2 linked regions of the Neurospora crassa OR74A genome follow. The protein of the gene in region 1 binds, or shares a complex with, the protein of each later gene. Links are inferred from orthologs where the notes say so. Each region holds a gene or a part of one and is shown in the gene's direction. Other genes may lie near its edges. The genes, in order: NCU07982 and ilv-4.

The links.
Region 2: the proteins of NCU07982 (region 1) and ilv-4 are in contact, whole or in part, in a crystal structure (PDB 6U9D), measured with the Saccharomyces cerevisiae proteins. The link is inferred for Neurospora crassa OR74A from reciprocal best matches to the Saccharomyces cerevisiae genes ILV2 and ILV6. Residues at the interface, in NP_013826.1 of Saccharomyces cerevisiae: Arg211, Lys215, Trp216, Asn217, Ile236, Pro269, Ser270, Ala272, Leu273, Pro410, Lys411, Ile413, Asn414, Lys415; in NP_009918.1 of Saccharomyces cerevisiae: Gln85, Glu87, Ser92, Arg93, Arg101, Gln134, Arg137, Gln138, Glu140, Asp141, Leu142, Val143, Pro144, Val145, Tyr146, Ala147.

Annotation. Positions count from the first base shown.
Region 1 is NC_026504.1:3,792,377-3,800,778, forward strand, and holds NCU07982 (acetolactate synthase, variant), read left to right. Parts: upstream 1-4,225; 5' UTR 4,226-4,385; exon of another isoform or gene 4,386-4,562; 5' UTR 4,563-4,654; coding exon 4,655-4,806; intron 4,807-4,919; coding exon 4,920-5,015; intron 5,016-5,086; coding exon 5,087-6,908; 3' UTR 6,909-7,377; downstream 7,378-8,402. Other genes in the region: NCU07981 (hypothetical protein), read left to right, coding at 1-1,260, 1,331-1,729, 1,796-1,951; NCU07983 (hypothetical protein), read right to left, coding at 8,002-8,034. UniProt on the Saccharomyces cerevisiae protein: Catalytic subunit of mitochondrial acetolactate synthase, which catalyzes the first of a series of common steps in the biosynthesis of the branched-chain amino acids.
Region 2 is NC_026502.1:2,757,837-2,765,665, reverse strand, and holds ilv-4 (acetolactate synthase small subunit), read left to right. Parts: upstream 1-2,920; 5' UTR 2,921-3,256; coding exon 3,257-4,068; intron 4,069-4,134; coding exon 4,135-4,315; 3' UTR 4,316-4,703; downstream 4,704-7,829. Other genes in the region: NCU01665 (KH domain-containing protein), read right to left, coding at 1-166, 217-869, 923-1,087, 1,149-1,201, 1,266-1,287, 1,469-1,686, 1,748-1,964; arg-12 (ornithine carbamoyltransferase), read right to left, coding at 4,717-4,827, 4,897-5,583, 5,690-6,049; NCU01668 (hypothetical protein), read left to right, coding at 7,671-7,829. UniProt on the Saccharomyces cerevisiae protein: Regulatory subunit of mitochondrial acetolactate synthase, which catalyzes the first of a series of common steps in the biosynthesis of the branched-chain amino acids.

The DNA of each region.
Region 1 (8,402 bases):
ACCGCGCCGACCCAAACCGGCGAAACCGAACAAACCGGCGAGGGTGTCCCCACGGGCGAGTCGGTCACCGTCGCCGAGCACCTCGACTTCTCGGTGCTCAAGAACGGCAAGGTCAACAAGGGTGGTAACGTCATTGATTCCAATGGCAAGATTGTCGGGCGCGTCGTGTCGGGTATCCTGCAGTACCTCGTCGGCAAGAAGGTCGACGAGAACGGGGACATTTGGTCTGACAATGGAAAGGTGATTGGCAAGGCGGAGCCGATTTCCGACAGCGAGCGGGAGGATATGCTCAAGGAGCCGGCGCCCTTTGAGAGCTTCCCCGACGCGGTCGTGGACGGGAACGGCATGGTGGTCAGCAATGGGGAGTGGATTGGTAAAGTTATCGAGGGTGATTTGAAGGTGCTAAGAGGCAAGAGCGTCGATGCGGATGGCGACATTATGGATAAGGCCGGGAACGTGATTGGGCGTGCGGAACGCTGGGAGCCAGAACCCGAGGAGGAGCCTGAGCCCGAGCCCGAAGTGGACAAGAGCATTTTGGCAGGGAAGAGGGTCAATAAGGCTGGCAATGTGGTTGATGGCTCGGGAGTCATCTATGGTCGCGTGGTGGAGGGTGATGTGAAGAGGATGGTTGGTCGCATGTGCGATAAGAATGGCAACGTTCTCAGTGAGAGCGGTGATATTCTCGGCAAAGCCGATCTTGTGCCCGAGGGCGAGCGCGAGGGTATGAAGGAGGGTCCTTTCTCTGAGCTTGAGGGCTGCACCGTTGCCAAGGATGGAACCATCGTCACACCTGGTGGTGATATCGTCGGCCGTCTCGTCAATGGCGACCCCAAGGTGCTCTTTGGTCGCCCTGTCGATGACGATGGTGATGTCCTCGACAAGAACGGCAACGTCCTCGGCCATGCTGAGCGCTGGACGCCCGAGGAGGTTGAGCGGAAGAAGAACCCCATGTCTGACCGCAAGGTGAACCGTGAGGGCAACGTCGTCGATGAAGACGGTAACATCATCGGCAAGTTGACTTCCGGTGACCCTCAGTCTTGCTCCGGTAAGGAGATTGATGACGACGGAGACGTTGTCGACTACAAGGGTACTGTCATCGGCCACTGCACACTCCTCGAGGATCTTAGAGAAGAGGAGTCGCCCGAGGAAAAGGAGAAGAGGGAGCAGGCCGAGAAGGACAAGAAGCTGGCTCTCCAGATGGCTGTCTGCATTGAGCAGTGTCTTGACAAGATTCGCCCGCTTTGCAAGATGATCACCGAGGTGAGTTTCTCACGTGTATTACTTTGATCACTTACCTATCAGTCACTGACCAGCGAGTTTTGAACAACAGAAAATCGACAAGGCCGAACGCACTCCCGAGGATGAGCGTGACGAAGAGGCGCTCGTCAGGGAAGTCAAGCCTTTGATCGAGGAAGGTGGTCGTATCCTCACCGAGGCCAAAGGTATCATTAAAGGCCTCGACCCCGATGGCCGCATCGCAGCCAACGCCAAGCACAAGACTGCCTCGCGCGAGGCCACTCCTGAGGAGTACCATTTGGCTGAGGTCCTCAAAGACCTCACTGGTGACATTACGCAGTGCATCGAGAACGCCAAGAGAAAGCTTGAAGACATGCCTCATGCGAAGAAGGAGCTCAACCCTCTCTGGGGTCTTCTCAACGAGCCCCTCTTCCAGATCCTGGCTGCCGTTGGCTTGCTTCTGGCCGGTGTTCTTAACCTTGTCGGCAGATTGGTAGGTGTACACATATCTACCCGTCATTTTCTTGCTCTGGCGAATGGTGCTAACAGAGTTGTGCAGCTGAGCGGTCTCGGTCTTGGTGGGCTCGTCGACGGCCTTTTGGGAACACTTGGTCTCAACCGCGTCCTTGAGGGTCTTGGTCTTGGATCCCTTACCAAGAGTTTGACTGGAGCCAGCAAGAAGAAGAACAGTGGTCTCTTGGGCCTTGGTGGCTAGATGTGTACGGGAAAATGGGATGTTTTGGTCGTGGAATGTTTGGATATGGTAATGTTAATTGTCCTGATAAGTTAATGTGTGTCATGAACCCGGTTTGCGAATGTTAGTCTAGCTTCTTTCCAAGATCTTGGTTAAATGGTTCAGTGTTTACAGTCGAGTGTCCTACTCTAATATTCAGTCATTCTTCCCTCTCTTGTCCTACAGTGACAGTCAAAAAAATATTGTCACCCCTTACCCTATTAGACGTGTGGGGGAGGGTGACAGTATTTTTTGATCATGAGTTTAGAAAAAAGTTGCGAAATCTTGGATGACAAGAGACTTATTAATAGGCATATGAATTCCAAGCTTTGTATCACGACAAGGGCAATGGACCTTTTCGAAACCCTTGAGAAGAGTTGGATCCAGGGCCAAAAAGGACAGGCGTCGAATTACACTTGATCAGGAGAAGTTGACTCACCACCTAAAAATGTTAGTGTGAGCAACCCGAGCGGACGGTTCGCTTCCCCTACCCACTGCATGTCGAGTGGAACAGTCAACAACGAAACAGACCTCAGAGACCGTATCCTGGCTGGCATGAAACGGATGGAGTTAGCAGATCTCGACTATGTACATATCACCGCCAATGCCCCGTGGTGTTGTCTCTCTTATCGCCGGCCACGTCAACTGTCAAGACGGGAGTGACGACGCCGTCAAGGCTATGAGTACGTGCGTATCATGATGTTTGTTGAACCCTTGGAAGAACGGCCAAGAGCGGGAAAACGGCCTTCGGTGCATGCTCGGCAGTTGTTGTTGACATGGACAAGGATGAGAGGCTCTCACCAAGGAAACATTTCTGGAGCCGTGGATCGGTGGACTCTGTGGGTTCAGCGTGGACTGGGTGGGACCAGAGAAAAGGGTGGACGGCAGCGCAAGTGGATTTGCGGGGAGTGGTGTGGGCGATATCGGAGGTAGCAATTTGACTGTCGCAGCTCAATGCTGGAGACGTGATTGGTCAATTCGGCCACAGCTCGCAGTCCCAAAGAAGAACCTTGACGGTTGGTAATATTGGTGATGGTCGGTAGCGACGTCGGAGCACCTATTTAGACATGCCTAACCTTCGTTGCAAGGTTGGTTTTGGTTGTTATTGACTTTGTGGTAGTGAGAATGAAGCTATTCAGGAACGATGAAAGGGCAATATGAGAGCAAACTTGGAAGGCGGAAAGTCACCCCCCACATAGTATTCGTTGTTCTGAGGATTCGTGGCTGCCATGTGTGACACTAGCGATGCAGGGAAACGGGACCAGTACTTAGCGTTGGCCCAAATACGTCGACGGTGAAGCTGGTGGAATGTAGTCGCACGACCACATCATTGTCGGGCTAGATATTCGCCATTTTCGAGTTATGAAACTATTTGTTTATCATTTTGGAAGACATTTACGATGAAGTAGTGCTAGCCATGATCACGGAAAGCATGATTGCTGTGACGCTGCTTGCCCTTCTCCACCGAAACATAGTGGTGAAGGTGGAGGTGGCCTTTTCTCCGAATTTTTGATGAATTCCCGAACAAACATCGGTCCGCAGTCACGTTCCCTCGCTCCCCCGCCGTTGCAGAGTGCCGTGCCGTACCTGTGATTTTCCTGGTGCCGTCCGTGATTGGTCTTGACGGTGCCTTGCCCTGCATGTTTGTGCCTGACGTGTAGTCGTACTGACGGGATATTGGATGACTCCAACTGGGACAACCCACACACTCTTCCGTCGGCTGTCCGCTGTGTCGCGTGTGTCCCAACAAGGAACCAACTACATAATCGTGTTCAGAGTCAAATGTTACCGTCTTCTTTTTCGGTACGGGTTCGGGGATGCTAGGAATATAGACAGAACGTAAAAGACGAAGCTAAACAAGGGTGGCGGGTCTTGCGAGGCTCGGACAGAAGGAGCCGGCCGGCTGTTTCGTGGACCACCACAAGACGAGATCAAAGCGTCTACAAGATGGAGCAAGACACTTCAGTTGAAAGCTAAACACTTCCTATTCACAACCGCCACACCGAATTCCATCTTGCCTTCTGGTGGAAAGATGAGAAATGTCCAAAAGTTCAAAGGAATCGGCAGAACCCAGAGCCAATCACAGGCTCGTGCACCGTAGTGGCTGCTTCCGAAATCGCCACTACACTTTGCCAGCAACAAGCCGCTAGCGACCTGTCATTGGCTGAGATCACCCAAACCTGGCCTCTCGAGTTCCACCCGCCTGACTGTCGCGACCAGAGTACCCCACACTTTATGACTATCGTGCCGGCCAGAGTCAAATTTTTGAGCCCGGGCGGCGGTTCGACTCACATTGCTCCCGGTTCCCGGACGGTCTCGGTCTGGTAGTCGCTACACTGACCACCACACTGCACTGCATTGATTGATTCATCAATTGTCATCTAATAAAGTACAACAAGAGACACTCGCTTTCTTCGTAAGTCTGTCTTCTTGCTCCCTTTTCTACCCTTCCGCCAACCCCATCATCCATCATAAAATCCTTTGATGTTTTCCTAGTATTACAGGAATCACCTACAATCCTCCCTAATTTCTATTTCCTGCTGCGTCCTCAGCCGACGATATTCTCCTCTAACAAAGCCACTGTTTGATATAGCTTGTGGTCCCCCCGCCGCCGCCCGCGTGTAACAGCAATTCGTTATCCTCCCAACCGCTCCCAGTAGACCATATATATCCTCCAAGGCCGCGATGCTCCGATCACGTCAGGCCGCTCGCGCCTTGAAGGCGTTGACTGAGGCGCAACATATCTCCCAGCGTACCACCCTCTCTGCCTCCCAGAGGGCCGCTGTTCTTCTCACAAACCGCTCCGTGCAAACGAGGAATCAGTCCACTGCCGCAGCGTATGTCTTTCTCCAAAAAATATCCCTTGGCCCGGTTGCCGCCCCCTTCTACCAGTGACTCACGACCATCTAGAGATAGTCAGTGACAAGGCTAACATACACAACTAACACAGCGCGACGAGACCTACCCCTAGCCAACATTTCCAGCCTGAGCCTACACCTAGCAATGTTCAGCCTCTGGCCGGGCGCAAGCCCGACATGGACGAGTCGTATGTTCTATGCCCCGTCACAGCGAGTACGGATGTGATCTGGCCAGGCTAACAAGATATCCGTTATGCAGCTTCATCGGCAAGACCGGTGGTGAAATCTTCCATGAGATGATGCTCAGACACGGCGTTAAGCACATTTTCGGCTATCCTGGCGGTGCCATTCTCCCCGTCTTCGATGCCATCTACAACTCTCCCCATTTCGATTTCGTCCTCCCCCGCCACGAACAAGGTGCTGGTCACATGGCTGAGGGTTATGCCCGTGCTTCTGGCAAGCCCGGTGTCGTCCTCGTCACCTCCGGTCCCGGTGCCACCAACGTCGTTACCCCCATGGCCGATGCCCTTGCCGACGGTACTCCCATGGTTGTCTTCTCCGGCCAGGTCCCCACCACCGCCATTGGCAGCGATGCTTTCCAGGAGGCCGACGTCATTGGTATTTCTAGAGCCTGCACCAAGTGGAACGTCATGGTGAAGAGTGTCGCCGAGCTTCCCCGCCGCATTAACGAGGCCTTCGAGATCGCTACTAGCGGCAGACCTGGTCCCGTCCTCGTCGATCTCCCCAAGGATATCACCGCTGGTATCCTTCGCCGGGCCATCCCCACCGACACCGCCATCCCCACCAGCCCTAGTGCCGCCTCCCGCGCTGCCATTGAGCTGAGCCGCAAGCAGCTCGATGCCTCGATCCAGCGTGTTGCCAAGCTCGTCAACATTGCCAAGAAGCCCGTCATCTACGCCGGCCACGGTGTTGTCCAGTCTAAGGGCGGTCCTGCGCTCCTCCGCGCCCTTTCCGAGAAGGCCTCTATCCCCGTCACCACCACCCTCCACGGTCTTGGTGCTTTCGATGAGCTCGATGAAAAGTCTCTTCACATGCTCGGTATGCACGGTGCCGCCTACGCCAACATGGCCGTCCAGGAGGCTGATTTGATCATCTGCCTGGGTGGCCGTTTCGACGACCGTGTCACTCTTAACCTCAACAAGTTTGCTCCCGCTGCTAAGGCTGCCGCTGCCGAGGGTCGCGGTGGCATCGTCCACTTCGAGATTCTTCCCAAGAACATCAACAAGGTCGTCCAGGCTACCGAGGCTGTCGAGGGTGATGTTGCCACCAACATTGAGCTCCTCATCCCTCAGGTTGACGCCAAGACCATGGCCGACCGCAAGGAGTGGTTCGGCAAGATCAACGAGTGGAAGTCCAAGTGGCCTCTTTCCGACTACGAGCGCGCCGAGCGCACCGGTCTGATCAAGCCCCAGACCCTCATCGAGGAGCTCAGCAAGCTCACCGAGGGCCGCAAGGAGAACACCTACATTGCCACTGGTGTCGGCCAGCATCAGATGTGGACCGCTCAGCACTTCCGCTGGCGCCACCCCCGTACCATGATCACCTCCGGTGGTCTCGGTACCATGGGCTTCGGTCTCCCCGCCGCCATCGGCGCCAAGGTTGCCAAGCCCGATGCTCTTGTCATTGACATCGACGGCGACGCCTCCTTCGGCATGACCCTCACCGAGCTCTCCACCGCTGCTCAGTTCAACATTGGCGTCAAGGTCATCGTCCTCAACAACGAGGAGCAGGGCATGGTCACGCAGTGGCAGAACCTCTTCTACGACGACCGCTACTCGCACACCCATCAGAAGAACCCCGACTTCGTCAAGCTTGCTGATGCCATGGGCGTCCAGTCTAAGCGCATCATCAAGCCCGAGGAGGTCGTCGAGGGTCTCAAGTGGCTCATCGACTCGGAGGGCCCCGCCCTTCTCGAGGTCGTCACTGACAAGAAGGTTCCCGTCCTCCCTATGGTCCCTGCCGGCTGCGGTCTGGATGAGTTCATCACCTTCGACCAGGAGCGTGACAGGAAGCGTCGTGAGCTGATGGTCAAGCGTACCGGTGGTGTCCACGGTCTTTAAATGTTTTATCGTTTACATCGATTTGGATCTATTCCATATGGCGATGAAGATGGATGGATAACATGTGGTGTTGGTCAAAAATGGGGATTTTCCTTTCGGCGTTTTACAAGCTGTATGTCTTTTTTTACAACTGCATTACCGGGACAAGAAAAAGGGTCTGTGTTGTTGGTGATCCGGCAACGTTCGGCGAGGGATCTATTTCCATGATTTGGTTGGGGTGAAGTGAAAACGCATATTCTACTTTTCGTTTTCAAGGGCTGCATGCGCGTATTCTTACCTCCGGGAGGAGGGAAAGAAAAGAGTGCAAAAGGTGACTTTCGATCACACAAGGAGGTTGTGTGTGGGTACAACAAGCATAAATCTGTTTGATGAAGTTGCGACTGCTTTGCGGGCCTGTATATATTTTTATTTCCTTGAATGACTGGATACCACGATTTTTCCTTGCGCAATCACAGTTCTATCGCATCCAAGCATCACCTTAACCCAAACCGGTGACACTCGTAGACCATGAAATCATATATACCCACCCACCTTGTTGGTATTTGTGCATTTCATGAGTTTGTATGCCTACAGATGTTACCTCCAGTTCATGGACGGTATCACGATGCCGTCGTTGCCGAGGAAACGCATCACAACAATTGTTTAGCAAGCAATAGGGGTAAACCCGAGTTCATTAACCCCAAGTGTGTACAACCATTTTTTTTTCCTTCTCTAAGCTACCCTAGATAACCCGCCGACCCACGCCATTTCTTTGCTCAGGGTAGGAGTAATAGAGGTACTTGTGTGCGCGAAGCCAGAAACAGAAAGCAAAGATTCAATAAAAATCATCCATCAACCCATCCAACGCTCCCGTCCCGCGAAGAACAAACTTCGCTCTTTCCCTCCGGATCATATGTTACGCATGACCGTCACATTACACTGTTATACCTATTCCCCCTTTCCAATGCCTCCCCCCTTCATCCACCCCACGCATGAATTCCGAAATCTGTGGATGGATGCAAAAAGCAAAAACGAAAACCAACAGACAGTAATGATGCGAGGGAGCAATCATCGTCTGGGTAATGTTCGTCGTGCACGAAGCTTTAGAGGAAGGTTACTTCGTGTGGTGCGAAGCCTGGATAGCGGTCTGGATACAACATACGGGTTAGCAATTAGCCATTGGGTTGGTGGATCTTGGAGGAGAACAGAAGTGGCTTGAAGGCCAAGATAAACATTCGAATGGCCGCAGGCTCGGGCTACTAATGGGCTCTGTCCAATCGACAACCTGACCGTGACAGCGATGGGACAATGGTGAAAAACCAGACTACTATCATCATCATCCTCATCTAACTGAGTCTCGGCCGCAACAACGGACTTAACTTAGACAACCGTCCACTCTTCTTCCTCCACCAAGAAGTCCAAGGCTGCCGCGCCTGGGACTTCTTGGTGGAGGAAGAAGAAGGAAGGTTCTGTTTCAAAAAAGACACCAAAGGGGGAGTTAGACAACCAAACCAA
Region 2 (7,829 bases), on another chromosome or scaffold:
GGCAGCAGACGATGGGGGAGGAGGCGGAGGGGGGGCTGCTTCAGTAGGAGGCGGTGGTGGAGGAGATGCCGAAGCACCGGGGGCACCGGGGACACCAGTAGCCGCAGCAGCAGGAGTTACCTGTCCAGCCTGAGCGGCATACCATTGTTGATACAGTTGGACGTAGCTATTGAAACCATTAGCTGGCTATCACTAATGAAATCGGATATCACTTACGCTTGATAGCCACCATATGCGGCGTATGGGTCAGCCGCACCAGCTGCAGCATAAGGGTCAGTAGCGGCAGCGCCGCCGTAGTATTGGGCATATTGGGCAGCATAATCCGTCGTGGCCGCTGCAGGAGCCGTGGGAGTAGGGGGCGCGACCGAAGGGCCACCACCAGGAGCAGGCGAGTTGGTGTAGCTGCTGTGATGGCTGTTGTCGTGGTGCCCGCCATGATGGTGATCTCTGTGGTTGTTGTTGTTGCTGTTGTTGTTGTTGTAGCCCCGCCCATGGTAAGAGTCGCCACCTCTGGGCTCCCGCTCCCGATCACGGTAATCCCTAGGACCGTTGTACTGGCGGGGCGGACGACTCTTGAACTCTTCATACTGTTGTTTGACGTTCTCCATCAGATCCTCGCAAAGCTCCTTGGCTTTCTCTACCATCTTAGGATCGGGACCAGCGACATGCAGATACATGTCGTCGTCACTCTCGCGGCCTGTTGATGCCTCGATGTAACCGGAGCCACGGCCCTTGATTTGGACTCGGCAGCCAGTCTCCTGTTGGATATGCTTGACGTAAGCGCCACCATGACCAACCACCTGGGCGCGGAGGTTGAATCCTGGGACGGGTTCAAGATTGATGGGGATTCTCTCTTCCGGCCATTTGCGCTTGAAAACACGTTAGCCCCAGTTGAACATAGCTGAGGGGCCTTTGGACTTACACGACCGTATTCATCACGTTCGACTTGTTCCTGGTCCCTGCGGCGGAACCGACGTTCGTCAACGAGTTGAGGAAGTTCCTGTTTCATCATTTCTTCGATTTTGGCGACGGCCTTTTCCAAACCTTCCTTGGTCGTGCTCGTGACATGCAAATACAGCGGAGGGTTCTGAAGTCAAATGCGTCAGCAACGAGAACTTGTAGACCAGTCTCGAGAAGCAATCACATACCGCAGGTGTCGCCATGCTCTTGTCGGGGTAGTAGCTACCGCGAGTGGTGACATCTTTGAACAGAAAACGGTCAATGAACAGTTCTCCAAACTTAACGTGTATAAAGGCGAGGCATACCGGCACCAGTCTCATCTTTGATCTATATTCAAGCAGCCAAGGTCAGCAATTGCAATGTGGATGGCCCTGTGCGAGCTACCATGCCTCCTGTAAGCAAGAGTATCTCGCACAAGATTGTACAGCATGAACGGAGACGCTAACAAGACAGATGCGGTCTCGCGAATGCTGACAGTCGATGAGTGGGTTAACCAAGGAGTAATTACCATTTTCTGGGTCGAACCCTTTGTCAAGAGATATCTGTTACGGAGATCGTTGACCTCGATATCCTTGATGAAGTCTCCATCGGAAATGTACATCTCTCCATTGATATTCGCGGGGACGCTGCCCTCTCTGGTACCGGCAGATCGAACGGGTGGGACATCGACATGTTGGATTCCTTTCCGAGCCTGTAGCTGGGCTTGAATACGGGCGGCAGCGGCAGCTACAAAGCGGTTAGCGACAATTGATATAAAAGGCCTCTATATCGCGAGCTAAATGCATACCAGCGGCAGCAGCAGGGTCAACTGCTGGCTTTGTGGAATCGGGAGTCGCGCTATCACGGGGTTTGGAAAGAGGGCTGCGGTCGCGATCCCGGCCGGAGTCCGACTTCCTCGCGGGAGGAGAACGAGACCGGCGGTCGAAGCGTGATACTCTTTTGGGTTCAGGCTCGGTCTGGTCAAAGCGAGAGCGCTTCGCGCTCCGACGTTCTGCGTCGTCCATATTCGGAGCGATTCGGTCGGGTGCCGGGTTGGGTTCTTAAATGTGTCGAATGGGCTGCTGATGGAGGCGTGATGTGTCGCGCCCAGGAATAGAAACGATCAGTGGATGCCTGGTAAGAATTGTTGGACTCTGAACTTGACAAGGACGAAAAAGAAAACGGGCCGCCTGTGTTGAAGACCACTAGCACTAGTTGGAGTTGGACCGTGACCTTTTGAAGACACCAGCCGGCAGTGCATGACATTTAAGCCTGTCCCGTCAAAGGGAAAGGGTTGGCTGTGGAGACTTGTGAAAACCCACGAGGCTGTGAGACGTGGAGCATCGGGCGCGCCGTCAGGTTTGTCTGTGATTGGCTCTTTGGACCCAAAATGCTGTGGATCGTTTCCGGTTTGGTGGTTTGGGCTCTCGATCTCAGGACCGCATTGCAGAAGTGGAAGCGGCAGATAACTGAAGTATCGCCGGGCCATGAAGGTGCACGGCGCCCTGTCCGGTAGAAGTTCCGGGAAAGTAGTAAGTACCCGACAACTGAAGTTCAGATTGCCAGTTGGACGACGGATCTTTCAGACGGGACGTTGAGCAACACCGAGTTTGGATGTCTGCGCTCCGGTTGCGACGGACTTTTCCACTTTTTCATCTGAATACAATGGTCGAATCATGACATATTAGGCCAACATGGCTGAGATAATTTGCTGAGTGTCCCATTGATTGTCTTTCATTCCTCTGAGTGTCCAGCCGACTGCGTCAAGCTACACTACAATGCCGATAAGCTACCTAGAGGTAGGTTGAACAAAAAACGGCACCACAACGAAGCTTCAACTGCCACGACTGGAGGCCCGGGCGGGCTTCGGCCGGCAGACAGGCAAATTTGCGACACTACCATTCGGCAACCCGAGCTTGGGACTAAGTAGCTGGGGCTCCTCTGTTTTACATTGGTCGATCCATGTTGGCCTCCACAATCGGCGGTCACATCGGTCACATCGCCAGTGCATCCCGCTAGCAACGAGGGCCTGGAGCCACGTCTAGAGCCCTGTGTTAATCACTGATCCTCCATCGAGCTCCGATGTTCGGGTGAGTCACTAGCGGCTGGTGAAAACATATCCAGTGGGTTTGATCCATCCATTTCCTCACCTCGTTGCCATCCTCCAACCCACCTCGTGCCTCCATCTGTCTGTACATACCTCCCCCCTCCCAGCTCACCACCACCGTAGCATACGTACTCGTCGGCTCCGGATCGATTTGCACGAGGGGCAGTGAAGCAAACTTCCCTCTCTCTATACATTATACTCGCGACGACCATGGCGTCTCGCGGCCTCGTGATGTCCGCGCCACTGCGCCGGATATCGGCGAAGGCAAGGGATGCCGCTCCCGTCGCCCGGCAGTCTCTTCCGGCGGCCATTGGCGTCCGGTACAGCTCCCACAGCAGCTCGACCTCTGCCATTGCCTACAAGGCCATCCGCCGCCGCCATGCGCCTCTCCCCGCTGCCGACGCTCCTCCTGCCTGGTCGTCCGCCCAGGCCGCCGTTTCCAACATCCTCTACGAGACGCCCTCCCCCTCGCTCGCCCCTCCCAAGCGTCACATCCTGAACTGCTTGGTCCAGAACGAGCCTGGTGTGCTGTCGCGCGTCTCGGGTATCTTGGCCGCCAGAGGCTTCAACATCGACTCGCTCGTTGTTTGCAACACCGAGGTTGATGATCTCTCCCGCATGACCATTGTCCTGACCGGTCAGGACGGTGTCGTTGAGCAGGCGCGCAGGCAGTTGGAGGACTTGGTCCCCGTCTGGGCCGTTCTCGACTACAGCAAGGCCGCTCTCGTGCAGAGAGAGTTGCTCTTGGCCAAGATCAACATTCTCGGCCCCGAGTACTTTGAGGAACTTCTCGCTCACCACCGCGAGATCACCGCCGAGGCCACCGAGGGCGAATCTGGCAAGCTCGAGAATGGCGGCGAGCACAGCCTGGAGGAGACTGCCAAGGACTTCCACCCCAGCCGCTTGGTCGCCAGCGAGGCGTTGAGGCACAAGCATGAGCATCTCAAGAGCATCACATACTTCACCCACCAGTTCGGCGGCAAGGTATTGGATATTAGCACTAACAGCTGCATTGTCGAAGTGTAAGTTTGATTCACCCTTTGGTCTCGCGCCCCTGTCAAGCTTACTTACTAACCACTCTTCCACAGCTCCGCGAAGCCCGTCAGAATCGACTCTTTCCTCAAGCTCATTGCCCCCTTCGGCATTCTTGAGTCCGCCCGTACTGGTCTCATGGCCCTGCCCCGCTCTCCTCTCTACGAGCACGGCGAGGAGACCCATGTGAAGGAGGCCGATGACGTTGTTGATGCTAGCCAGCTTCCCCCTGGTTAAATGTGGGATGGTGTGTGCAAAAGGAATGGGGGAAAAATGGGAAAGGATTTACCCAGGAGTTGTGGATCGGATTGGTCAATTGGTCCTCTTATTTTCGCACTTTGCAGAATTGTCTTCATGTGCCTCGTCTATTCTAATAGCTGCAGCGGCGTTACAAGAATCACATGAAAAGTAGTTGATCAGCCTTTTGCAGCATCTCGAAAAATCTGTCATCATTTTATGTCGTTTCTCTTTTGTCTTATTACCCGTCTAGATAGAATACAATAAGACGAACCGATGTGAAGGAGGGAAAAAAAAAAGCCAAGAACTTTTGTGTGTAACTGAGAATATGGTTATATTAACCAACCAAACCCCCTTAACCCATGGAATACAACGCCTGCCTTACTGCTGCCATGATATGCTTACGATGTACGAAGAGTGGATAGAACCAAGATGCAACCAAAAGAAACCTTGTCATATCGCTTCTGCTCAAAGTATCCTACCGTTGTTGACGACGAAAGCCTCAAGGGCAGCTAGGTAAAAGCACAAACGTGATTAGCTCAAGCTTCATCCGCGGGGCAGAATAAGATCGCTTCACTTACAGACGGCAGCCCAGAGCCTATTTTCGGCTCGGGGAAGACCAAGGACTGAGGACCATAGAAAACCTCGTCATCAACCTCCTCAGGGTGCCTAGGAAGGCAGTGCATGAACTTCCAGCCGGGCTTCGCGCCGCCACGCTTAGCCAGCTCGTTGGTTATCTGGAAGCCGGCAAACGCCTTGAGACGCCTCTGGGTCTCGGCCTCCTGACCCATGGACACCCAGGTATCGGTAACCAAGATATCAGCGTCCTTGACAGCCTCCTCGGGGACCGTAGTCTCGATCAGCTTGCCGGGCTTGGCAACGCCCTCGGCGACGCTGAGGATGATCTGCTTCATGCGGTCGGGAATGCCGTAGCCGGCGGGCGAGGCGACGGCAATGTCGACGCCCAGCATGACGCAGGCGGTAGCCATGTCGAAAAGTACGTTGTTAGAGTCGCCGACCCAGGCGACCTTCATGCCCTCGAGTCCGAGGCTGGCCTCGTGGGCGGGCTTGGTGGCAAAAGCCTCGTGGATGGTCTGGAAGTCGGCAATGGCCTGGAGCGGGTGGAAGTCATCGGACAGGGCGTTGATGACAGGTACCGATGAGTCCCTGGCGAGGTCGGCGACGTCGGAGTGAGGACCGACGCGGGCTACCATGCACGAGGTCATGGAGGAGATGACCTTGGAAGTGTCATAGAGAGACTCGTTGACCTGTGGAAAGTGTCGTTAGCGATCGAGGTGCTGGTCGTTGCGCATGTATGTGTCTCCTTTAGGCAAGGGGAGGGACGATGGAGCCGAGACGGTAGTTAACACTTACACCCAGTTGGATGTCATCCTTGCCGAGGAACATGGGGTGGCCGCCCATGAGGGCCACAGCGGCCTCGGTCGAGACACGGGTCCTGGTGCTTCGCTTGCTGAACATCATGGCCACGGTCCGTCCCTTTAGCTTGCCGTCCAAAGTGCGGGGTACCTGGCCGGGGCCAGCAGCGAAGGCGGCCTTGGTGGCCTGCTTGTAAGCAGAAGCATTGAGGACAAGCTTGGAGAACTCGGCAGGGCTAAGCTGGCTGATGGAGAGAAGATGGCGGGGGGTACTGCTGGCGGCGCTGTTGGACACAGAGCGAGCCTGGATTTGTCCGACAGCGGACTTGATGGTGCGAGTAGTTGCCCGGGACATCATGATGGCGATGGTGAGGTGAGACGGGTATCTGGTGAGGACAAGGAAGGAGAGAAATGTCAAACGAAGAAAAAGTGCAATGGGGTATCTTAAGAAATGAGAGATGAGTTGTGAAAGAAGTGGGAAAGTGAGTCAGCCAGGAAGAGTGGCCCTGGGGGGAAAGCTGCAGTACTAGGAGGTAGTGTTTATCAAGGCCCTTTCCACTTCCTTCATGAATCAATTCGCGAACCGTGACTCTTCACAGGTACCCTGGTCTTTCGTCCTTTCTCTTTTCAGCCCCAGACTTTCGGAATAGCCTCTTCCCAGTCTGCAAAACCCACAGTCAAGGAACAAGACGATTAAGTAGCTCACTGTTGAGGGCCCTTACGGGGATGAGCTTGGTAGCAGGGAATAGGTCTCTTGGGCCAAAAGATAACAGCCAAGAGTTGAATTGCACAACAATTTGATTTTGAAACTGCACCGATACCGGCTATCTGCACGTTTGTCTTCCAACTCTTTATTTTATCCTTCTTGCTTTTATCTTTTTCTCTCTCTTTGAGCGGTCTTACATACTCAGTTCCTTCACGCTCACAATCAAATAGCCCAGCCACAGCTGATTCCCGCCTCCAACCGCCAATGGAGCTCAGCATGAGGTGTGTCATTCAGGATAAGAACCCTAGACTTAGTGTGAGGGACGGGTACATGCAGGTCTGACGAATTGGAGCTTGTTTAATGGTTGGTTACTTGAGCTTCACTCCACACCACGACGGGACAAGCCGGTGGGGTGTCTGGAGCCTCTGGGCAAGCCCGCTGGCGGGACTGGGCTTCTCCAAGTTCGGGGTTGCGGCCCCACCCAGGGGCATGCCGTTCAATCGTCCATCATCCATCCACTGGGAATTTGGATGCAACCGACGAGGGGAACAGGCACATCCGGTCACCGGTCCCATCGCGACCTCGCGGAAGGGTGAGGGCAAAGAGTTTCCTTCCGTGTTCCGGCGCCGGAGGTCACGCAAACCAAGAGCCATGCAGGCACGGCAGGACCAATCATCCTAAGCGGAAGCTGATCCCGGTCGCGCACAGGGCAACCTTGTGGGCATACACTAGTGTAGAAGCCGCTATTTTGGTGTAGTCCCGTCTTGGTGCAGCACTACCTTAACTGCATGAAGGCACTGTCAGCCTGTAGAATAGTGCCAACTCACGCATCATGTTGTTAGTGCATGGCTCGTGATCTAGGTACCTCCATATCCGAAGACTTGATGTGTCGGCTGCGAGCCCAACTTCAATCTCAACGTCGCCGAAACACCAACCGTCCTGCTTTGTTGCAACAGCATTCCAGTATAAATCGTCCATACTATACTTCTTCGATTCATTCTCATCAATTTCCCTAGACATATTGTTCATTATATCGAGTTCTTCTAGCCTACCAGTCCATCTTATCCTTGATCAACCTAGTATCTAGAGGTACCTCCCTGCCAACACCCGACCGTTTAACTCGTCCGTTGTCGTTATCGCAGGAGCGTCCAAGCTTCACGGCAATCTACCATTGCTCGTCTGCCTGCGATCATTCATCCACTCATTGCCCATTTCAGTCTTTACACTTCATTCATGAGGGCTTGAGAACCGAATCCAGCACAATCATTTCGACATGTCGTCTTCCGACTTCGAAACCGAGCGGTCCCCTCTGCTCGCGGCGTCGACAAGCAGTAGGGATACCAAAACACTGGCCGATTTAACCGATGGAGCACTCGAATCTACGCCTCTGCTTTCGACGTCCAACACAACACCACGCCATGACGGACGCGAT